Xenopus tropicalis: one gene and its partners. The protein of the gene in region 2 interacts with the protein of the main gene of each other region in a pairwise test. Links are inferred from orthologs where the notes say so. Each region holds a gene or a part of one and is shown on either strand. Other genes may lie near its edges.

What was found.
Region 1: the proteins of wwp1 (region 2) and cpsf6 interact in binary tests that used the Homo sapiens proteins (3 or more experiments, as listed by UniProt). The link is inferred for Xenopus tropicalis from reciprocal best matches to the Homo sapiens genes WWP1 and CPSF6.
Region 3: the proteins of wwp1 (region 2) and fam189a2 interact in binary tests that used the Homo sapiens proteins (3 or more experiments, as listed by UniProt). The link is inferred for Xenopus tropicalis from reciprocal best matches to the Homo sapiens genes WWP1 and ENTREP1.
Region 4: the proteins of wwp1 (region 2) and arrdc1 interact in binary tests that used the Homo sapiens proteins (3 or more experiments, as listed by UniProt). The link is inferred for Xenopus tropicalis from reciprocal best matches to the Homo sapiens genes WWP1 and ARRDC1.

Annotation. Positions count from the first base shown.
Region 1 is NC_030679.2:58,921,073-58,926,396, forward strand, and holds the start of cpsf6 (cleavage and polyadenylation specificity factor subunit 6), read right to left. Parts: upstream 3,716-5,324; 5' UTR 3,598-3,715; coding exon 3,538-3,597; intron 969-3,537; coding exon 759-968; intron 261-758; coding exon 157-260; intron 1-156. UniProt on the Homo sapiens protein: Component of the cleavage factor Im (CFIm) complex that functions as an activator of the pre-mRNA 3'-end cleavage and polyadenylation processing required for the maturation of pre-mRNA into functional mRNAs.
Region 2 is NC_030682.2:125,462,074-125,467,545, reverse strand, and holds the start of wwp1 (NEDD4-like E3 ubiquitin-protein ligase WWP1), read right to left. Parts: upstream 3,432-5,472; 5' UTR 3,352-3,431; intron 1-3,351. UniProt on the Homo sapiens protein: E3 ubiquitin-protein ligase which accepts ubiquitin from an E2 ubiquitin-conjugating enzyme in the form of a thioester and then directly transfers the ubiquitin to targeted substrates.
Region 3 is NC_030677.2:129,486,151-129,490,973, forward strand, and holds part of fam189a2 (protein FAM189A2), read left to right. Parts: intron 1-509; coding exon 510-638; intron 639-2,275; coding exon 2,276-2,383; intron 2,384-2,672; coding exon 2,673-2,806; intron 2,807-4,823. UniProt on the Homo sapiens protein: Functions as an activator of the E3 ubiquitin protein ligase ITCH in the ubiquitination of the CXCL12-activated CXCR4 receptor. Thereby, triggers CXCR4 endocytosis and desensitization, negatively regulating the CXCL12/CXCR4 signaling pathway.
Region 4 is NC_030684.2:4,210,193-4,214,630, reverse strand, and holds part of arrdc1 (arrestin domain-containing protein 1), read right to left. Parts: intron 3,738-4,438; coding exon 3,602-3,737; intron 2,604-3,601; coding exon 2,499-2,603; intron 2,080-2,498; coding exon 1,920-2,079; intron 923-1,919; coding exon 740-922; intron 649-739; coding exon 472-648; intron 1-471. UniProt on the Homo sapiens protein: Functions as an adapter recruiting ubiquitin-protein ligases to their specific substrates. Through an ubiquitination-dependent mechanism plays for instance a role in the incorporation of SLC11A2 into extracellular vesicles.

The DNA of each region.
Region 1 (5,324 bases), on a different chromosome or scaffold from region 2:
CCTTCTTGAAACCTTATCCTGACTCAAGACACTGCTATTAACAATGTAATATGGCTGCTGTTACTTAAAGGCAGAACCTTTGTCAAACTTAACATCCAAACCATTAAACCTAAGTAAAACAATTAGCAGAAAATCCAGAAAAGCATCCAATCTTACCCCTTTGACTGGCCATTGGCCCGATTTTCAAAAAATTTTATTTCCAAAATATCATTAACACCCAAAGAATGAACAGCATCTGTCAAGTCTTCATCAGTTGTCCACTGCACAAAGAAAGGAAAATGATGAGACACATTACACCTACAGAAATAAACCATTCTATGCAAAATCATTTATAGAATAGAAATAAATCATGCATAAAAATGCAGCTACTGTATATGCAGAAATGTCAAAAACCACACAAGATAAAATTTAACAATTGTACTTTTCTCACATTTTCCAAGATAAGAAATAATGATGTTCTATAAAGAATACGGAATTTTTTAAAGTGTGCAGGCAGATTTTGCCCCAAACACTTGAGTTCATATATTAATGTAGTTTATATGAAACTGTCAATCAGATTCAACAAAGATATAGGACACACTGTTGAAGTGTAGATAAAGGCAGATATATGCCTTTCACAGGAATAAAATAAATGCAGACAGCATATTTTTAGTGGTGGTTGTTTTCTTGTGCAGTGGTCAAAACACCTTGTGCAGCATGAAATCAACATAAACTACACAATAGGAGCAGAAAAATGTTATTGTTATGCCTTTACTTACCCATGTTAGATTTCCAATGTAGAGTGCTATTCGTTTACCAGTATAGGTATACACAATATTAGGAACAGATCCTTTCACTACATCATCTCCAACAGAAGTTGCTAGATTATCCATATAGTCGCGGTCCTCAGGAGCATCTCCATTGTTTGCAGATGGTGAGATGACATCCTCATAGAGTTCAATTTGCTCATGTGCACCATATTCTGCTTCCTTTAATACAAACAAAAAATATGAATGTTCATACCTCTTCAAGCAGCTGCCTGTTGCCTGGATCAGGGCCTTAATTATTATTATTAATTTACAAATTTTAACATATTGATGCATTCTCCACTTTATTATACATGTCAATTTTTAAAGAATACATTGTTCACCTAATGATTCTTTCAAAGGCAAATCAATTACTGGTTTTAGATAAATATGTATGGACTAGGAATGCACTTACAAGCAAAGATGTTTTGCTGTGTTGTTCAGATAAACACAACAATTCTTAATGGAACATTTGGTTTTTTGCCTGAAAAAAAGGACATTGGCAATGCGAGTGATCTCCATAATTTGCACCTTTGGATATTTGTGACTATAGCAATGGGGACAAAAACATAAAATCCCCCCTCAACAACTAAAGTGTAAAGGAAACTTTGTTGTATAATAATCGGCACATGCATGGTGGGAGACACAGCAACCAATATCAGTAAATGCCTTAAGATATTGGTTGCCTTGTCAATCGCGCAGGACTGAAAATTTTGATTGGGTGCCTTATCATCGGAACTTTAAAGGGACAGTAACACCAAAAAATGAAAGTGTATAAAAGTAATTACTATATAATGTAATGCTGTTCAATCAGCCATTAACCGTTCAGGGCTGAAACAGCAAATAAGGCTGCCGATTCAGCCCTGAAGGCAGATTTTGCTCAGGCGCCTTCTATGGCGCTCGATCAAAATCTTTTAACCTGGCCGATCGGCGCGTCGACCAATATCAGCAGCCTCCTGCGATATCGGTCGACTCGCTGACTTACCATACACGCACCGAATATCGTACAAAACGAGGTTTCGTACGATATTATCGGTGCATGTATGGCCAGCTTTAGAGGCTACCAGATTAGCCATTTACTGCCCATATTTGGCACCCCCAGAAACCTTTTTATGCTTGTGTTGCTCCCTGACATTTTACATTTGAATGTGGCTCACGGGTAAAAAAGGTTGGGGACCCCTGTTCTACAGCATTTAAAATATTTTCTGATGCTTTGACAGTCACAAGAGGCAGTTCCATGTGTAACACAGTTCTGTATATGCCTCTGCACTAACACCCCAACATTGCAAAAATCCAAGGAGGTTTGGAAGTCTACAAAGATAAGAAAACAACAGCTACATTATTTCTGACAGCTTATTTTACAAGCATCTGAATATTGTTTCAGTCCTCAACCAAAAAAAAGGGGAACACATTTTAATTTAAGAAATTGATATTTGATTATTTCCTCCACCAGCCCCCCCCCCCTGTATAACAAGAATCTTTCAATACCTTGCTGCTCTAAAAAAGAAACAAATGTTGATTTTATCCCTGTGGTACAGAAAATGTGTTTTAATGAATAATATAGAACATAACTAGGGTAAATTTCCATGAAAAATAAAAGCATTAGATCTAATATAAATAGTAATGGATTTGCCAATACTTTTTTGTGCTTTAAATAGTCAATTAGCTGAAATTCACTTCTAATTTAAATATGGAGAAAGTCTGACGTATATCAGCAATGGGGCCACTACTGCCTATACCAGATATTGACATCCTGCATTCATTTGCTAATCTAGAGATGGTGTATTTATAGCTGAAGGATATTAAAGATACCAGTATAAACCTGTTATTAAAGGTTGAACAAACCACATTTTCAGTTTTTTTTCCCTTCAACCATTGGCATTTAATTTTTTATCCATTATGTGAAACTGCAACTGTATAGTTCTACATTTACAAGTAAATGATTGCTGTGCTGTCTCTCTCAATTCAAGACAGATAGGAAAAGTACACCGTTTTATGATATTAGAAAAGTGTACATTTTTCTATAAAGAATAGTTTGGAAAATGACAGCAGATGCATTTTATTACATTATGTATGGTACCTATTTTCTTGTACCCCCCAAAATAAAGACAGTGGTACCTAGCAGCTGCCGGCGAGATGCTCCAGGGCCCCATGTATGTTACAGCCTATTATATTCTCTATTTCGACCAATGGATAAGTAGATTTATTTGGGGGGGGGGGGGGAAGCAATTATGATAACAGTTGTGAAGGTTTTTCATTAGTCTTTCCAAACAACCCTAGTAGCTTAGAACAATTTTTTAAAATAGAGTGGTATTTGAAGGGGTGAACAATTGTTGTAGTCCGTAAAAGCTCGTCTTCCCACAGTCTCTAAGAAAAAGAAAATCCCAACAACTACTGTTTTAGTCTAGAGCCCCCGTAACCCACACATAACTAATCCAGCAGGGCTCTGGGCAATGGCACTAGACTGAAGTTCCGTGGAACTCAAGGCCCCGGCACACGCGGCCTACACAAAGAAAGTGCAGAAGGCTGTGTGGCCGGGTTCGGCTTGCCCGCCTCTGTACAAATTTTGCGAATCTCCAGGGTAAAAGAAATGCTTTAAAGACTTGATAGCATACATAGGCCTACAAATAATAACAAAACAAACAGGCGCTTCTTTTATCTGCGAGAAGTCGGGAGGCGGCCCAAGCACACACAGACGACTCGCACCAGCATGACAACCACTTGCTGCACCCATATTTCCCACTCGCGATACCTGATTAAATTCCTCGCCCACATCTGCGTAGATATCGATATGATCCACTCCGTCCGCCATCTTCCGCCTGGAGCGGCAGCGCTAGGCAGTCACGGAGGCGGTGCGAGCTGGGAGGAGTGGGTCGGGAGGGGGAAGGCGGGAACGGGCGCGTCACTTCCTCTACTGGATACTGAACCAGCTAGTTGCGCGCGTTTTTTTTCACATAGTATAATTTGTATTGTACAAACTCGTTGGAACGCGAACAATGAGCAGCAGCATTAGAAAGATATGGCTGAAGGTGAATAGAAACTTGCCCCAAGTCAAATTCATATTCTCGTCAGAACACCGTGTTATGAAGATATATGAAAAACATTTTTTAAAGGTTTTTATTATTTTCTTTACAAACAGAAACATAAAACCAGCACAATAGCATATACAATAATTAGTGCTATGACCATGGAGAAAGTATACAGTAGCAGGGTCAGCTAGATACAGTCGGTGTGGCCTAAGTAGTTTGGATAAGGCCTGTGATTTGGGGGAGACCTTTGGTGTAAAAGTCTCAGGGTTATACTGTGGGACTCGCTTCTGGTTGAGCTTCTTACAGTTTTTGAGAGGATTGTCTAGTTCAAAAGGTCTCTCTAGAAATCCAGTTGCATCTAAGTGATGCCATAACCTTGCTTTGGTGTCATAATCCCACTGACATAATTGTGCCCACTTCTGATGTCATCATGCCCATGTCAAACATCACTGCCCCGCCCCCTTTGTTGAGGTTTAGCCTCTGACAAAGGTGGCAACCTTAGTAGGCATTGTCTGTATAGACGCCATATTCTCTAGAATTTGCTAGGGCAACCCCTGGCAAGGTATGTTAGTTTAATAAGTGGGAGTCTAGTGTTAACAAGTTGTTTCCATTGCTGGAGGTCAGGGGGGTGGGGGCTCATCCATTTCATTGCCAACTTTAAAACAAATGGACAGATACAGCAAATGGTGTCTATACAGACAATGCCTACTAAGGTTGCCACCTTTGTCAGAGGCTAAACTGCAACAAAGGGGGTGGGGCAGTGATGTTGGACATGGGCATGATGACATCAGAAGTGGGCAAAATTATGTCAGTGGGATTATGACACCAAAGCAAGGTTATGGCATCACTTAGATGCAATTGGATTTCTAGAAAGACCTTTTGAACTAGACAGCCCTCTCAAAAACTGTTCAAAACCACATGGAAGGCAACCCTAACTATATTCTGCCCAATGAGTAAATTCAATCCTAATAATAAAATACTAATTCATTTATTTGTTTGTTTCTGTAATAATAAATTAAAAGAGAAGAAAAGGTAAAAACTAAGTAAGCTTTATCAGGTAGGTCTATGTAAATACAGCCATAAGCACTCACGGAAACGCTGCACTGAGTCCTCTATAAAAAGATACAGGATTTCTTGTCTCTTTGATTTCCTGTGCCACAGACACGCAGCTCTCTCCTCTCTCCCCTCTCCTGCTCCCCCCTCCCTCAAGAATGCTAAGAACTCCCTCCCCCCCTTAGGAATGTGTGATCTGAGCCAATCAGCAGAAAGCTTCCTCATAGTCTTACACACTGCATATGTACACCGGTCTTGGTCTTGGTGCAGGAGCGAGGCATTATGGGAATCTTCTTTGTTTAAATTTAAAATGCTGCTATTCTTATACTATCCGTACAAGTGTCCCCTTGTACAGTTAAAAACCGTGGGATTAATATTCAAGATTAGAAAAAGTGAAAGGAGCCACCAACAGCCAATCAGATGTGTCCGAATGTGTTTTTTCGTAATGATCGTTATT
Region 2 (5,472 bases):
CTCTCTCATAAAAATACTGAAAAAAAATATGTAAGTTTGCATATTTTGTTCTAGGTGGACTCAGTAATTCTGGTATTCTTCATATGCTTTGCCCACTGTCTCCTTGTTATCCAATATAACCTACTTGATAAGGACATATACACTGACTGTTTGGAATAAGTTACCACAAAGGGGTTTAGCCATTGTTAGAATGTAGTAATAAGACCAGTTTCAGACAGTATTCCCAAGACTCCTTGTGGGAGTGTATGAGGATGGGCTGTTCATTTATTTACCAAACTAAAGTTTCAATCAACTGGGGACAAAGGTTTTTAATAGTATTTTCAGCACAAATGGCCAAAACTAAATACATTTTTATCCACAATGAACCAACCAACCAACATAACCTTTCTTCCTTTCAAAATAACAGTGATACATGATCAGTAAACACATTTGTCATGACATGGCACACATTTACAAGTCATATTAGGTTAAGTAACCTGTTGAAGGCCCTGAGAAGGCTGGTGACCATTAATACAACTTCTAGGGCAAAGTACTACTATATATTTTTCGTTATTTATTTTATTCAATAATCTGACAATGGGGGGGGGTAGTATGGCAAGAATGAACAACTTGGACAAGCTTTATGGAAATGATATAGAAATAACACCTATGGAAAGTTTGAAATAAAGGTGTCCAACTTTTTTACCTATAGAAAACATTTAAATAAAAAGAGTTGGCAGCAACGCAAGCATGAAAAAAGTTCCAAGGGGGTGCCAAATAATGGCATATTTGGCTCTGTGTGGCAGTACACATGGCCTTTGTGCCTCCAAGTAAGAAATTCAAAAATGAACACCTGCTTTGAGGCCACTGGAAGCAATATCAAAGGGATTAGGGGAGCAACATGGTTGGGAAACACTGGTAGCTAAAGTACGATGCACTTGGTCCAAAGTAAATTTCACAAAAGATAAACAAAAGACAACGGCATACCTGGCGGGGAGTGCTTGGACAAAAAAAGGGTAGACTAAGCAGAGAGAATGCAATTAAGGGTGAAGACACAATGACCTACTACCGGTAGTAGCAGCTACTTGTCATGGCTACTAAAATGGACAATGCTGATCATTTACTGATAATTGTCTCTACATGTGTTTTAGCAGAGGCAATTCTCAGTATTGTCTATGGCAGGGGTAGCTGCTACTAAGTAGCTCTGTGTGTCTTCACCCTAAAGGTGCACAGGCGCAAGACAACACTGAGTTGGCAAAAAAGGTGGAGTGGCAGTATACCCCCCTTGCACAGCACAAGCTCAATACACAGGGCTTGTGCTGAACATACTTTGTTTTGGAGTGCAAAGTGACCTTTTGTAGTTTGCTTTACTTTTGCCTCTATTTGGGTAAGAGTCTTTACTTTTGCATCCTTTACTATATTTGCATAAGGGAGTACCCTCTATTAATTGTTGTTTTCTGAACATACTTTTTTTGCCTATTGTTTTAATCATGAAAAATCTCAATATGGACATTACATGGACACTGAGAAGACACCACAGAGGTGGCACATAAATGGATACAGATGGCAAGGAGGGTGAAGCTAAATGTGAGCATTACACATGGAGACAAGAAAGACACCACAGAGGTGGGAAATACATGGATACACTTGGCAAGGAGAGTGAAGCTAAATGTGAGCATTACACATGGAGACAAGGAAGACAAAACAGAGGTGGCACATACATGGATACACTTGGCAAGGAGGGTGAAGCTAAATGTGGGCATTACACATGGAGACAAGAAAGACACCACAGAGGTGGCACATACATGGATACACTTGGCAAGGAGATTGCAGCTAAATGTGAAGAGTGCACAAAGACACAAAGAAGACACCACAGAGGTGGCACATACATGGATACACTTGGCAAGGAGGGTGAAGCTAAATGAGAGCATTACACATAGAGACAAGGAAGACACCACAGAGGTGGCACATACATGGATACACTTGGCAAGGAGAGTGAAGCTAAATGTGGGCATTACACATAGAGACAAGGAAGACACCAGAGGTGGCACATACATGGATACACTTGGCAAGGAGAGTGAAGCTAAATGTGGGCAATACACATAGAGACAAGGAAGACACCACAGAGGTGGCACATACATGGATACACTTGGCAAGGAGGGTGAAGCTAAATGAGAGCATTACACATAGAGACAAGGAAGACACCACAGAGGTGGCACATACATGGATACACTTGGCAAGGAGGGTGAAGCTAAATGTGAAGAGTGCACAAAGACAAAAGGAAGACACCACAGAGGTGGCACATACATGGATACACTTGGCAAGGAGGGTGAAGCTAAATGTGGGCATTACACATGGAGACAAGGAAGACACCACAGAGGTGGCACATACATGGATACACTTGGCAAGGAGGGTGAAGCTAAATGTGAAGAGTGCACAAAGACACAAGGAAGACACCACAGAGGTGGCACATACATGGATACACTTGGCAAGGAGGGTGAAGCTAAATGTGGGCATTACACATGGAGACAAGGAAGACACCACAGAGGTGGCACATACATGGATACACTTGGCAAGGAGGGTGAAGCTAAATGTGGGCATTACACATGGAGACAAGGAAGACACCACAGAGGTGGCACATACATGGATACACTTGGCAAGGAGGGTGAAGCTAAATGTGAAGAGTGCACAAAGACACAAGGAAGACACCACAGAGGTGGCACATACATGGATACACTTGGCAAGGAGAGTGAAGCTAAATGTGAGCATTACACATGGAGACAAGGAAGACACAACAGAGGTGGGAAATACATGGATACACTTGGCAAGGAGAGTGAAGCTAAATGTGAGCATTACACATGGAGACAAGGAAGACACAAAAGAAGTAGCACATACATGGATACACTTGGCAAGGAGGCTGCTGCTATACACTATACATGGATATGGGCAGATTTGGCAGCGGCACTAGGAGGGTACAGGGTTCAAGTCATATGATGAATGAAGTCAGGCTAGCATTAGCCCACCTGTGACACAATAACCAGAAGCCCCTGATGAAAGGAAACAGCTAGCGAGATATCCGGTGGCCCTTAAGGCCATAGAGATGTGAGCGAGTACTGAGACCGGAGAATAGCGGATCGCAACAAACCACGACAATGAAAGGCTTGAGAGAAAAACGCAAAGCGGGGAATGGGATCACCGACAGCAGCGCAAAGCACTAGTGGTATTGCCCGTAGCTAATGCCAGGCGGAGACAAGGAATAGTAGCCTAGGGGCAAGGAGCAGAACAAGCAGTGTGTGGCACCGACATGCCCTCATACACTGCTGCGGGAAACCTATCGACTTCACCAACCAGCTGACACAGCTGCCAACATACCGGGGCGGATGTCCCGTCCTCGGCCTCCCCTCCCCTCCCCGGGCCGCCTCTTCCTCCTTCCGAGCTCCCGTCCGATTCACACGCTGCCAGCTCCGGGCACCACTGCGGCCGTCTCACAGAGCTTCCCCGGACTCCGCCCCCTCGCGTCATCAAACTCCCGCCCAGGAAACGTCACGTGTCTCCCACCTACCAGCAATAACACGGGGCGTGGCCATGTCGTGACAGGATTGGGACAAGCTTTGCGTGACGTCACCTATATAATTCTCTGGCTAAACCCGCATTAATCTGTATGAGTTTAGTTTGATGCTCCTCTTTAGACTAGGCCAGGAGGGACATGTTAAAGTTGTTGTTAAAGTTTAAATCAACTTTTTGTGTTTCAGGCAGCATTAGTTTATGGCTTTTTACTGCTCCAAGTGTATCAGCAGGGACACTTTCAGGGTTGCTATTCTACCAGTGGTAAAACACATGCTAAAGCTGGGACCAGTATAACAGTGCCATTGCGTGTCATTGCACTGATCCACCCTAATTGTTCATCCCTTTTCAGACCAGAAGCTGCCCTCTGCCCAACATGCCAATTCTCTTCTGCTCATATTATCACCCTGGGCCTTTACAGCATCACCCCACCCCCCTTGTCACCCCAGCCCAGCAGGTTAAATCATTTTTAAAAGTTGCAAACCCTATGCACTTGCCATTAGAAGCAGTAAGGGTAAAGACTCCAGCACCCCACTTGGCACTGGCACTTAGGGTGAAGACACATGGAGCTACTAGTAGCAGCTACTTGTCACAGCTGCAAAAATAGACAATGCTGATCATTTACTGATAACTGTCTCTACATGTGTTTTAGCAGAGGCAATTCTCAGTATTGTCTGTGGCAGGGGATTTTCTGGCGTTTAGTAGCTGTGACAAGTAGCTGCTACTAAGTAGCTCTGTGTGTCTTCACCCTAACAGGTAGTAGTCAAAACACACCATGTTGTCTGTACTAAGATCTAAATAAGTCTTGGCATTACAAATAAACTGAGGCTGAGACAGTCCTCTAACAACCTCAAATAAAGCACCGGTCTATGCAATTCACAGCAGTCACTACGGGTTTTGCCAGAATATTTGCCATTCCAGCACTACCCCAAGTGCCATTAGCCTTAAAGTGATACTGGCGCTAAGGGCTGTGACAGACGGGAAGATTAGTCGCCGCGTGACAAATCTCCCTTGTTGCGGGCGACTAATCACCCCGATATGCCATCCCACCGGCTTGAATGTAAATCGCCAGTGGTATGGCATATGCGGCGACGCGATTTCCCGAAATCGCACAAGTTTCCTCTCAAGGCAACTTCCGCAGTTTTCGGAAATCGCAACGCCGCATATGCCATACCACTGGCGATTTACATTCAAGCCTGTATGATGGCATATCAGAGAGATTAGTCGCCCGCAACAAGGGAGATTTGTCACGGGCAACTAATCTCCCCGTCTACCACGGCCCTAAGTAACTGTTACTTGGCAGTCCCCTCACAGAGGAACATGGGGGATCAGATAGTAGGTAATGTAATGTAAAAGTATTGGGCAAATACTTTTAAGATAATGAATGATAGATGTAAAAAAAGATTTAATTTCTGGTGTCAGTATCACTTTAATGATAAACAACCAGTACTATTGATAAGGGATTGTGGGCTATAAGCAAAAACAGACCCCACATGTTTCAGGTCAACCTGCACATCACAACAAGAGGGGGTGTCATTTTTATTAGCTCCAGATTTTTGTGTGAGGGAATCAACTGTGCTATAGTGCAACATATTCAACGCTTTTGAAACAAACCGGCATATTTTGTTGCTAAGCCTTTGCCTCATATGGCATGTGTGCTAAAGGGGCTGTGGAGAGTGTTGCATTTAGAGGATGGGATTAGAAAAGTATGTTCCTTACCCCACGCTGGCTATCATCTTCTTAAAATAATGCACCAACCTGTAGTAGTTTTCACCTAAACATTGTGCCAACATATTGTTCTGGTGTCCCAGAACAAAATAGCAAAGAAACAGGATAAATAATACAATCACCTCATGTGTGGTTCATTTACTAATAGGCAGAGGCGGGCCAAGTGGGCCAGGCACCCTAGGCGACCCAGCCAGCCACCTT
Region 3 (4,823 bases), on a different chromosome or scaffold from region 2:
ATCTGACAGATTTGGAGTGTTTCTGCAAAGAAGAGTGGGCAAATCTTGCAAAGTCAAAATGTGCCATGCTGATAGACTCATACCCCAAAAGACTGAGTGCTGTAATAAAATCAAAAGGTGATTCAACAAAGTATTAGTTTAAGGGTGTGCACACTTATGCAACTGCATTATTTTAGTTTTTTTGGAATTTTCAGTTTGTTTTTCAATTGAGTGGTACAGTTTATAGGTCACATCAAAGGTGGAAAAAGTTCTGAAATGATTTATATTTGTCTCATTTTTGTACAGCACAGGAACCTGACATTTTACCAGGGGTTTGTAGACTTTTTATATGCACTGTAGCTGCCTGCTGAGCTCAGGGATGGAACTAGCAGTAGGCACAACTATAGGTGACCGCTGGGCTGGCCTCCCAACCTTTAGTTAGTACTTAATTTTTAACGTACAGTAAGTCAGTTATAGAATAATTGTGTTTTGTTAATTTAAAAGATCTTTCCTTGTCCCTCTAATTACAGGTGGAAATGAATGAAGGCAAAGTCTGCGTGTGCTGTGAAGAAATCTATGCCAACAAGTGCCTTGAAAGAGAGAACTTTCTAAAGCTTTTCCCAGTTCAGTCCTGTAATGCCGTTCATCTCTTACTCAAGGTAGTAAAGAAAACTCACAGTGACGAGCTTTTATTTTACACCTGAATTGATTAACACCTCCCCCTCAATAATATGGGAACACACAGGGAATTGATCTCTAACACTCTTTATTAACCTCTACATTGTTGGGAGTGGAAGGATCTGAAAGCTAATTTCTAATTTCAGTTCATAATTCATAGCATTTTCTCATTACAACTTTATTTATGATTTTAACATTGCATAGCCATAGTCCCTGCATTCTTTCCCTAGATATAGTTTGTTGCCATCTTATTGCATCTGGTCAAGGTGACCTTTCAGTTACAAGAAACAAAAGAGCTGATGCATGTTCTTCTTTCCTGGCACTCAAAAGGCTTATTCGAATTTCGCTTATATCAACAATAGGTTATGCTGACCTGCTTATTAAAACAAATGCAGCTGGTAATGAATCAAATCACAATAACTTTTGGTTTTTAGTAAATATTAATTTAGTATTAGCATTATATAACCCATAATATTAAATAATGTTTTTTGTGTATTATTTTCTCACTAGATGGGGAAGAAATGTTAGTGAATTATTGTCCCAGAATTCTCTTGAATTTTAACAAAAGGCTGGACCTTTCCAATACCTGAGGGCTTGTTTATGAAAGCAAGCAAATGCAAAACTTTTTCCTAATGAATCCTTGTATCTGTAAATGCTTGTGCAACTTATGACTAATGTCATTGTTCCAGTCCAGCCTGCTTTGATAAATGCCAAGTAGTATAGGCAGACATGTCAGCTTTCCCTGATTTAACCCCTCACCCAGTCACCTACAGTAACAAACCACCCACTCACAAAGTCACTCACTGTCAGTAGTTTGCACTAGAATCTCAACTTCCTTTGTGTGTTACGTCTGCACATACAATAAAATTATATATATATATGTGAGCCTGCAGTAGCATGTTGCATTGGCCTGACAGCTTTCTGCAATCTCCATGCAAGTCCTCAGTTTTTATTAGTTATGAGATTGTATTTATAAATGGGATTTTGTTGGAGCTATTTGGGATTAGTTCCCAGAATTCTGTGTGTTTATTTGCATATGTATGAGAGGGTTTCCTCACCCCTTTTGATTTATCTGTGGATCCACACCCCTAGCTCTTCTTAAACTGATCAGAGACCCCTGCAATACACTGATGAGCCCTAAGAAGGGTGAAACCAGTCTGTAGTTGGGAATCTGATCAGCTATTATCCTGGTTTCTTCTTTTGAAACCTAGTGGGTGAGCTTTAGCCTATAGCAGTGCTGTCCAACTGGCCCGAAGCCCCATCTGTGTGGCACCCCACCTGTCTGGCTGCTGTCGTTGCTTACCTTTATGTAAGCTTTAAGTGGTTTTAGTATTGGCCTAAAGGATAAACCAATGTAAATGGGATTTGGAGCTCTTTGGGATTAGTTCCCAGAATTCTTTGTGTTTAAGTAGATTTTAGCAAATGGATTTGCAAAGAATGTTGAAAGAGGTAGTTTAAGCCATTTCCAGAGTCTGCACAAGGTATTCAAAACAAATGTTTTACTTTCAAAATTTTCCATTATATATCTACTCCTATTATGCCAAACATTGTTTATGCCATCAATGTTTTAGCTAAAAGCAAACTATTAAGTGTAAGAACTATTATATTCTATCCCTAGAAAGTCTTCTTCGCTCTGTGTGCTCTGAATGCCCTCACTACCACTGTGTGCCTGGTCGCTGCTGCCCTGCGCTACCTGCAGCTCCTCACAACTAGAAGGCCCTGCACAGTAAGTGAGTGTATAGTGCATAAGAAGGCAATTTCTTAATTGCCTGTTTGGAGGATACAATACATAAAAGATGACACTTGCCTATGATATGTTTTAAATATTTTATGCATTATTATTACTAGCAACAGAAATGGGACATTGCAATTACAAAATCATGGTTTTGCCTTAATGGTCTATGATCACAGTTTTTATATATTCTGATTTAAATTGCAATGTTTTTTTAAACTCTAGCCTTCAGGATTTTTATATTAGAAATGTAGTAAAGATGTATTTCATTGTATTTGACTAGGATGAGTCGCAAATATCAGCTGAGGAAGGAGAGGAACAAGAGCGGGTTCCAGACCCTGATGATTTTGTTGCTCCTGCACCACCTCCATCTTATTTCTCTACATTTTATTCCTGCACCCCCCGAATAAATCAGAGGTAAAACAGTATTCTTTTGTGCAATAGTTCACTTTTGGAGTTCAGAAGGGCCCCTTGTAGCACCTGGAGAATGCACTGAATGCAAATAAACTTAAATGTTACTATCATCAAACTGTTGTAAGTAGCATAGTGTTCCTTTAAAGGAGAACTACAGTTTAACAAAGTAGACTAGAAATGGTGCACATTTTGTGTTGGGGTTCTGTATCAGTTCAAAATGACTACATCCATTTGGCAAGGAAAATTTGCTACTCTGGAAATGCCCCCAGTAGCTCCCCATCTTCTTCTCTGCTGATTCACTGCACATGCTCTGTGCTGCTGTCAGTTACTGAGTTTAGGGACCCACTCACAATACACTGTGTATATAGAATATAAAAGTCACAATGAAAGGCTGAAAAGTAATTAATTCAGATTCACAGTACAAAGCAGCTCAGAAATCAGAATGAGAATCAGCCCTGTGGCATCAGCTTCTATAACAGGGGAATCTCATTTTCTGCTTGATAATTTGCAACAACCCCTAAGCTCAGTTTACCAACTGCTTCCCAGACCACACTGAGCATGTGAGTGTCACTTCAAACAAAATACAAATAGTGTCCCTCTGCACTCAACTTTAAATGCCTGAATCATTACTGTTATAGGGATGCTGAAACTTTGGACTGGTACAGTAAGTTTAGCATGTAAAATATGGCATTTCTACCAATTCTTGTTTTTAGGGTTTAGTTCTCCTTTAAAAGCATTACTAGAAAAGCAACTAGTCTTTTTATATTTCAGTTACCATGTTACCATGACAGTTATATGAATAATTTATCAATATTTATATTCTTTTGGGTTTTTTTGTTTTGTTTTGTTATAGTAATCCAAGGTTACCCTAGGCTGAGTTCTTTGTAAAAACTATATCTCAGTTGAGAGTTTAAATACCTGTCTTTTTTTTTTCAAGAATGTCCTCATTCCATTGTACGCAGCAAAAATTTAATGACCCATAATCCATCACTAACTTTGTTCGACATCACTTTTCAAACAGTTTGCCATGTCTTGATAGTTAATGCCTTAAAACCTTTTAGCTAGCTGAATTTATAGCACTGCATGTTTTCTATAGCTGAGGCCCAATCAACAGAAATACCAGGCTATAAGCCCATAAAGTAAATATTTTGTACGTGTGTTACCCACAACTCCGAGCAAGTTAAATCCAGCTTTCTCTGGCTCTGCTGTTGAAATATTTCTTTTCCTCTAGCCATTCGCTTGTAATTGACCTTATTCTCTTACAGAAGCTCTCTTAGGCTTGTTACTGGAATTTGGTAGTATACTAATTTACCTTTATAACATGAAAGGCATTGAATATACGTTTGCCTTTTATTTTAAGACAACAGAGATTGAGCCCAATCAGTCAAGCGAGATGCATGATCTGCAATATGAAACTCATTGACGTGTGTTAAGCTTTTGTTTTTTTGCTTTTCATTCAAGAACGTACAAGTCAGGTTAGTCAAATTGGAGGCTCATGGTCTGGATGTTCCCTATCACTGGATTGTTTGTAACAGTTCACATCCTGCCCCAAGACACTATATTTGTCAACAGATGATGGCAGCATGGTGGCACAATACATAACACTGTAGCTGGGGACCTATTTGCATTGTGCATGGGGGCACAAGTGCAAGAGTTTGCTAATTTATTAAGCACTTGAGCCTAATAAAAATTTTGGCCGCTCAGTGAAGAATGCAGCATCAGAATGTGCAGCTCAGCCCTATCCTTACCACCTGTCTTTGGGAAGGCAGTAAGGACAGGGCCCCAAAGCGGACTGTGCATCCTGCTACTCCTACCTGGCACCTCAGAATAATGTGCAAAGTAGGGGCAGATAGGGGGTGGGAGGGCAGGATGCCTACATGCCTCTCCTGCCCCCCCCCTCACTAATACAGCACTGACTAAGAAAGTTAGCGTTGTTTTAGCAAAGAGAACCGCTGGTCTTTACTCACACCCCAATGCAGCATACAAAGTGCATAATAATGAATGATTGCGCCCATTTTTT
Region 4 (4,438 bases), on a different chromosome or scaffold from region 2:
TGGCACCCCCTACCCATATGTATAAATACAAATATACAGAGAAGGAATGTTCTGGGCACACAATAAGCTGTACCCCCATACTGTACTGTCTAAGGGAAACACTATGGCACCCCCTACCCATATGTATAAATACAAATATACAGAGAGGGAATGTTCTGGGCACACAATAAGCTGTACCCCCATACTGTACTGTCTAAGGGAAACACTATGGCACCTCCTACCCATATGTATAAACTTTTCGCTATAGGATTGAGACAAGTTATTGGCAATCGCCAGTAATGTCTGTGCACACAGTGAGTCATTGCTAGACGATCAATACATTCCTTCCTAGCTAGAACATCACCATGGTTACTGCAAGGAGAGACAGGCAGTCTCAGGAAACAGATGTACCTGAAGCCGACAGTGAAATATTGGGGGGAACTTTACCCAGAATCCTCTCTGTTTAGTAGCAGTAGGGCAGCGCCACGTTACCTGGATGTAGTAGTCAATATGGATGAGGTTGCACCCCTGCAGAATGGACTGCGGAAGAGCCGGAACCAGGATCTGCTCGTCCCACACCGCCCGCTTCCAAGCCTTCACCGGGGCCCCTTCCACCTCCGCGATGGTCCGGAGGTCGTACACCACCCGCTTCGACTTGTAGGCGATTTTCTAACAGCAGAGAAAGACGGGTAAGAAAAAAAAAAAAAATTCCCCAAAACATTTAGTTTTAGTTTCTACCCCTAAGCCCCGCCCCCTTTACCTGGACCAGAGCCGCCACGATGGAGCCGGTGTCGCGGCCGGACTTGTTCTCCAGTTCCGTGTGGATCTGTATGGCCTGTCCCACCACGTAGCCGCGCAGGTCGGAGCTGGCCGCCAGTAGGACCTGCCCGGACTTCACCAGGAGGTAGTTGAACTTCTTAGTCGCCGACGCGCAGTTCCGTTGCTGGAAGAGAAACCGGTTTAGCAACGAAGGGGAGGGCTATGGGCACCAACATGGCCGCCACCAACATTAAAGGGGATGTTCAATTGCAATTGGTGTTCATTTTTTTAGTTTTTCTGCAGCTCTCCAGTTTGGAGTTTCAGCAGCTATCTGGTTGCTAGGGTCCAAATTACCTTAGCAACCAGGGAGTGGTTTGAATAGAAAGATAAGGAATAAAAAGTAACATTAACAATAAAACTGGAGCCTCACAGAGCAATAGGGTTTGGCTGCCGGGGTCAGTTATCCTGTTGCTAGGGCTCAAATGACCTTAGCAACCAGGGAGCTGTTTGATTGGGAGGCGGGTATATGAATACGGGAGGGGCTGAATAGAAAGATAAGGAATAAAAAGTAACAATAACAATAAAACTGGAGCCTCACAGAGCAATAGGGTTTGGCTGCCGGGGTCAGTTATCCTGTTGCTAGGGCTCCAATTACCTTAGCAACCAGGCAGCGGTTTGAATGAGAGACTGGTATATGAATAGGGGGAGGGGCTGAATAGAAAGATAAGGAATAAAAAGTAACAATAAAACTGGAGCCTCACAGAGCAATAGGGTTTGGCTGCCGGGGTCAGTGACCCCCATTTGAAAGCTAGAAAGGGTCGGAAGAAGAAATAATGAAAATAGTATAACAAATAAATAATGAAGACCAATTGAAAAGTTGCTTATAATTGGTCATTCTATGACGAACTAAAAGCTGACTTGAAGGTGAACTTCCCCTTTAAAACACTAGCCCCTTTATTTAGGAATGGGCTCTGCTACTAAATTAGGGGGTACCCATAGTACCCAATGCACAGGGTTGGACTGGGGGGTGCAGAGCCCTTAGGGGACCCCCTGGCCCAGTCTGACCCTGCAGCACAGAAGTGGGGGGCATTCATTATGCAGCTCCTCCCTTGAAAGGGGAGGGCACTAAATCCATCCACTGTGCCCCGCCCCCTAAGGGATCCAATTAAGGCGCCGCCCACCTCGATTTCCGGGATCTCGTTGAGGTCGAGCGGCCGGAGGATGTAGAAGAGTTTGGCGCTCTTGTAGTCTTTGGAGAGTCGCTTGGTCTCGATGGCCGCCCGGACCTGGTGCGTCACCTTCCCGAAGGGACCCTCGAAGGACGTGGCGGCCCGTTTCGGCCTTCGTTATTGGGCCGGCGGGAGTGTGTGGGCGGGTTGTGCGGCCCCGGGGAAACGTCCGCGCTATTTAAAATATGTGGGGTGGGGTACGTTGTCTTGCAACCTTATTGTAGGGGGCGGGGGGGTGGGTCCGCCTAGTTGTTCTTGTGGTTTTCGGTGGTTTATGTTTTGGTTGGGGGGGTTATTTTCTTGTATTGGGCCTCCTGTGTTCTGCTGTTCGGACACGCTTTGGGTCGTGCTGGGGCATTAGGATGGTTGGCTGTTGGGCCGACGTGGTATCAGGAGGGGGGCTGTGGTGGGGGCCCGGGCGGGGGCACTATGTGGTATGGCCGTGCGCCAGCTATTGTGTGCAGCTGTAGGGGATGATGGCCTCGACGGCGAGCGTGGGGGGTCTTTTGCGGGGTACGCCGGTGTGCGCACCGGAGCTTTTCGAGGACGGTTGGGGCGTTTTCTGGGTGCGGGGCCACGTATTCGGCAGAGCTGAAGGTGTGGGGGCATTTATCGAGTGGGCCTACTTTTGCCAGGCTGAAGGGGGTATTTTGAGGTGAAGGGGAGTATTTATCGGCAGGTGAGGGGCCCACGTACCTTTTGGCAGTGCAGGGGCGGCGTTTTATGGCGGCCTGGGGGTGGGGGGTACTTTATCGGCCGGCTGAGGGGGGGGAGTACTTTATGGTGAGGGCTGGGGGGCTGTCCCAACTTTATGGGAGGTGTGAGGGGGGGCAGTTTTATGGCGGGAAGGGCTGGGGTGGAGGTGAGGGGTGAATCGGCGGCTGAGGGGTACCTTTATGGAGGGAATTGGGGGCGCCGGCCTGGGGCAGTACCTTTATGCCAGTGAAGGGCCTGGGGGGCCCCAGGTGAAGGGACCTTTATGAGGAAGGGGGGGGGATATTTTGAAGGTGAAGGGGTGGGGGCAGTTTTATAAGGGAAGGGTGGGGGCAGTACTTATTGAAGGGGTGGGGGATGTACCTTTATCGGCCAGGCTGAAGGGGCCCCACGTACCTTTATCGGCCAGGCTGAAGGGGTGGGGGCCCCACGTACCTTTATCGGCCAGGCTGAAGGGCTGGGGGGGCCACTGTTTTATGCAGCTGAGGGGCGCAGTACTTTATCGGCAGGCTGAAGGGGCTGGGGGCACGTACCTTTATCGGCCAGGCTGAGGGGATGGGGGGTGCCACGTATTTGGAGGCTAGGGGAGTATTTAGAGGTGAGGGCTGGGGGCGTATTTTGGACGGGTGAGGGGCAGTTTTGGTCAGGTCGAAGGGGGGGCCACGTACCTTTTGCCAGGGAAGGGGTGGGGGGAGTATTTATAGAAGGCTGAAGGGGTGGGGGCCCACGTATTTATGGCGGTTGAAGGGGCTGGGGGCCCAGTATTTATCGGAGGCTGAAGGGGCTGGGGGCACGTTTATCGGCCAGGCTGAAGGGGCTGGGGGGCGTATTTAGAGGGCCTGAGGGGCAGTATTTTGGCAGGTGAAGGGCTTGGGGGCAGTTTATTGAGGGGGTACTTAGCGGTGAGGGGTGGGGCGTACTTTATGCCAGGCTGAGGGCTGGGGACGTATTTAGTGAGGGTGGGGGGCCGTTTATGCAGTGCTTGAAGTGTGTGTTGAAGTATTTGTCTCAGGGAGTGTGTCAGTTGTTGGAGCCGAGAGCGCAGTACACTGATGGCTGACGAGGGGATGGGAGGGGAAATTAGTAAACGAATCATCATCAGGGCTTATGAGTAATTATCAAAAATGGTAAGGACAATTTATTTGTAAATGGTATAGGTCAGATATGGGGGAATTCTATGTGAATCCTGTATGGCCATTACAGATGTATGAGAATGATGATATGGGGGAAATTTAATTAGTCTGTTATGGACTATCAGCATTTTGCGAACCTATTTACTAGCATGGGGAACTCTATATAACTCTTGTTTGAATTAAGCTGTATATAGATAGATATGGGGACTATTAAATCTTGTTATGGAATTACCAGCATGCTTATCTAGACCTAGATATGGGGGAAACCCTCCTATATAAACTCCTTGTTATGGCCCCACCCACTTACCCAGCATGCTATACTACGCACCCCTAGCTATGGGGGAAACCCTCCTATATAAACTCCTTGTTATAGCCCCTCCCACTTACCCAGCATGCTGTGCGACACCCCTAGATAGGGGGAAACCCTCCTATATGAACTCCTTATGGCCCCACCCACTTACCCAGCATGCTGTGTGTGCAACACACCCCTAGATATGGGGGAGCCCTCCTATATAAACTACTTATGGCCCCTCCCACTTACCCAGCATGCTGTGCGACACACCCCTAGATATGGGGGAAACCCTCCTATATAAACTCCTTTGTTATGGCCCCTCCCACTTACCC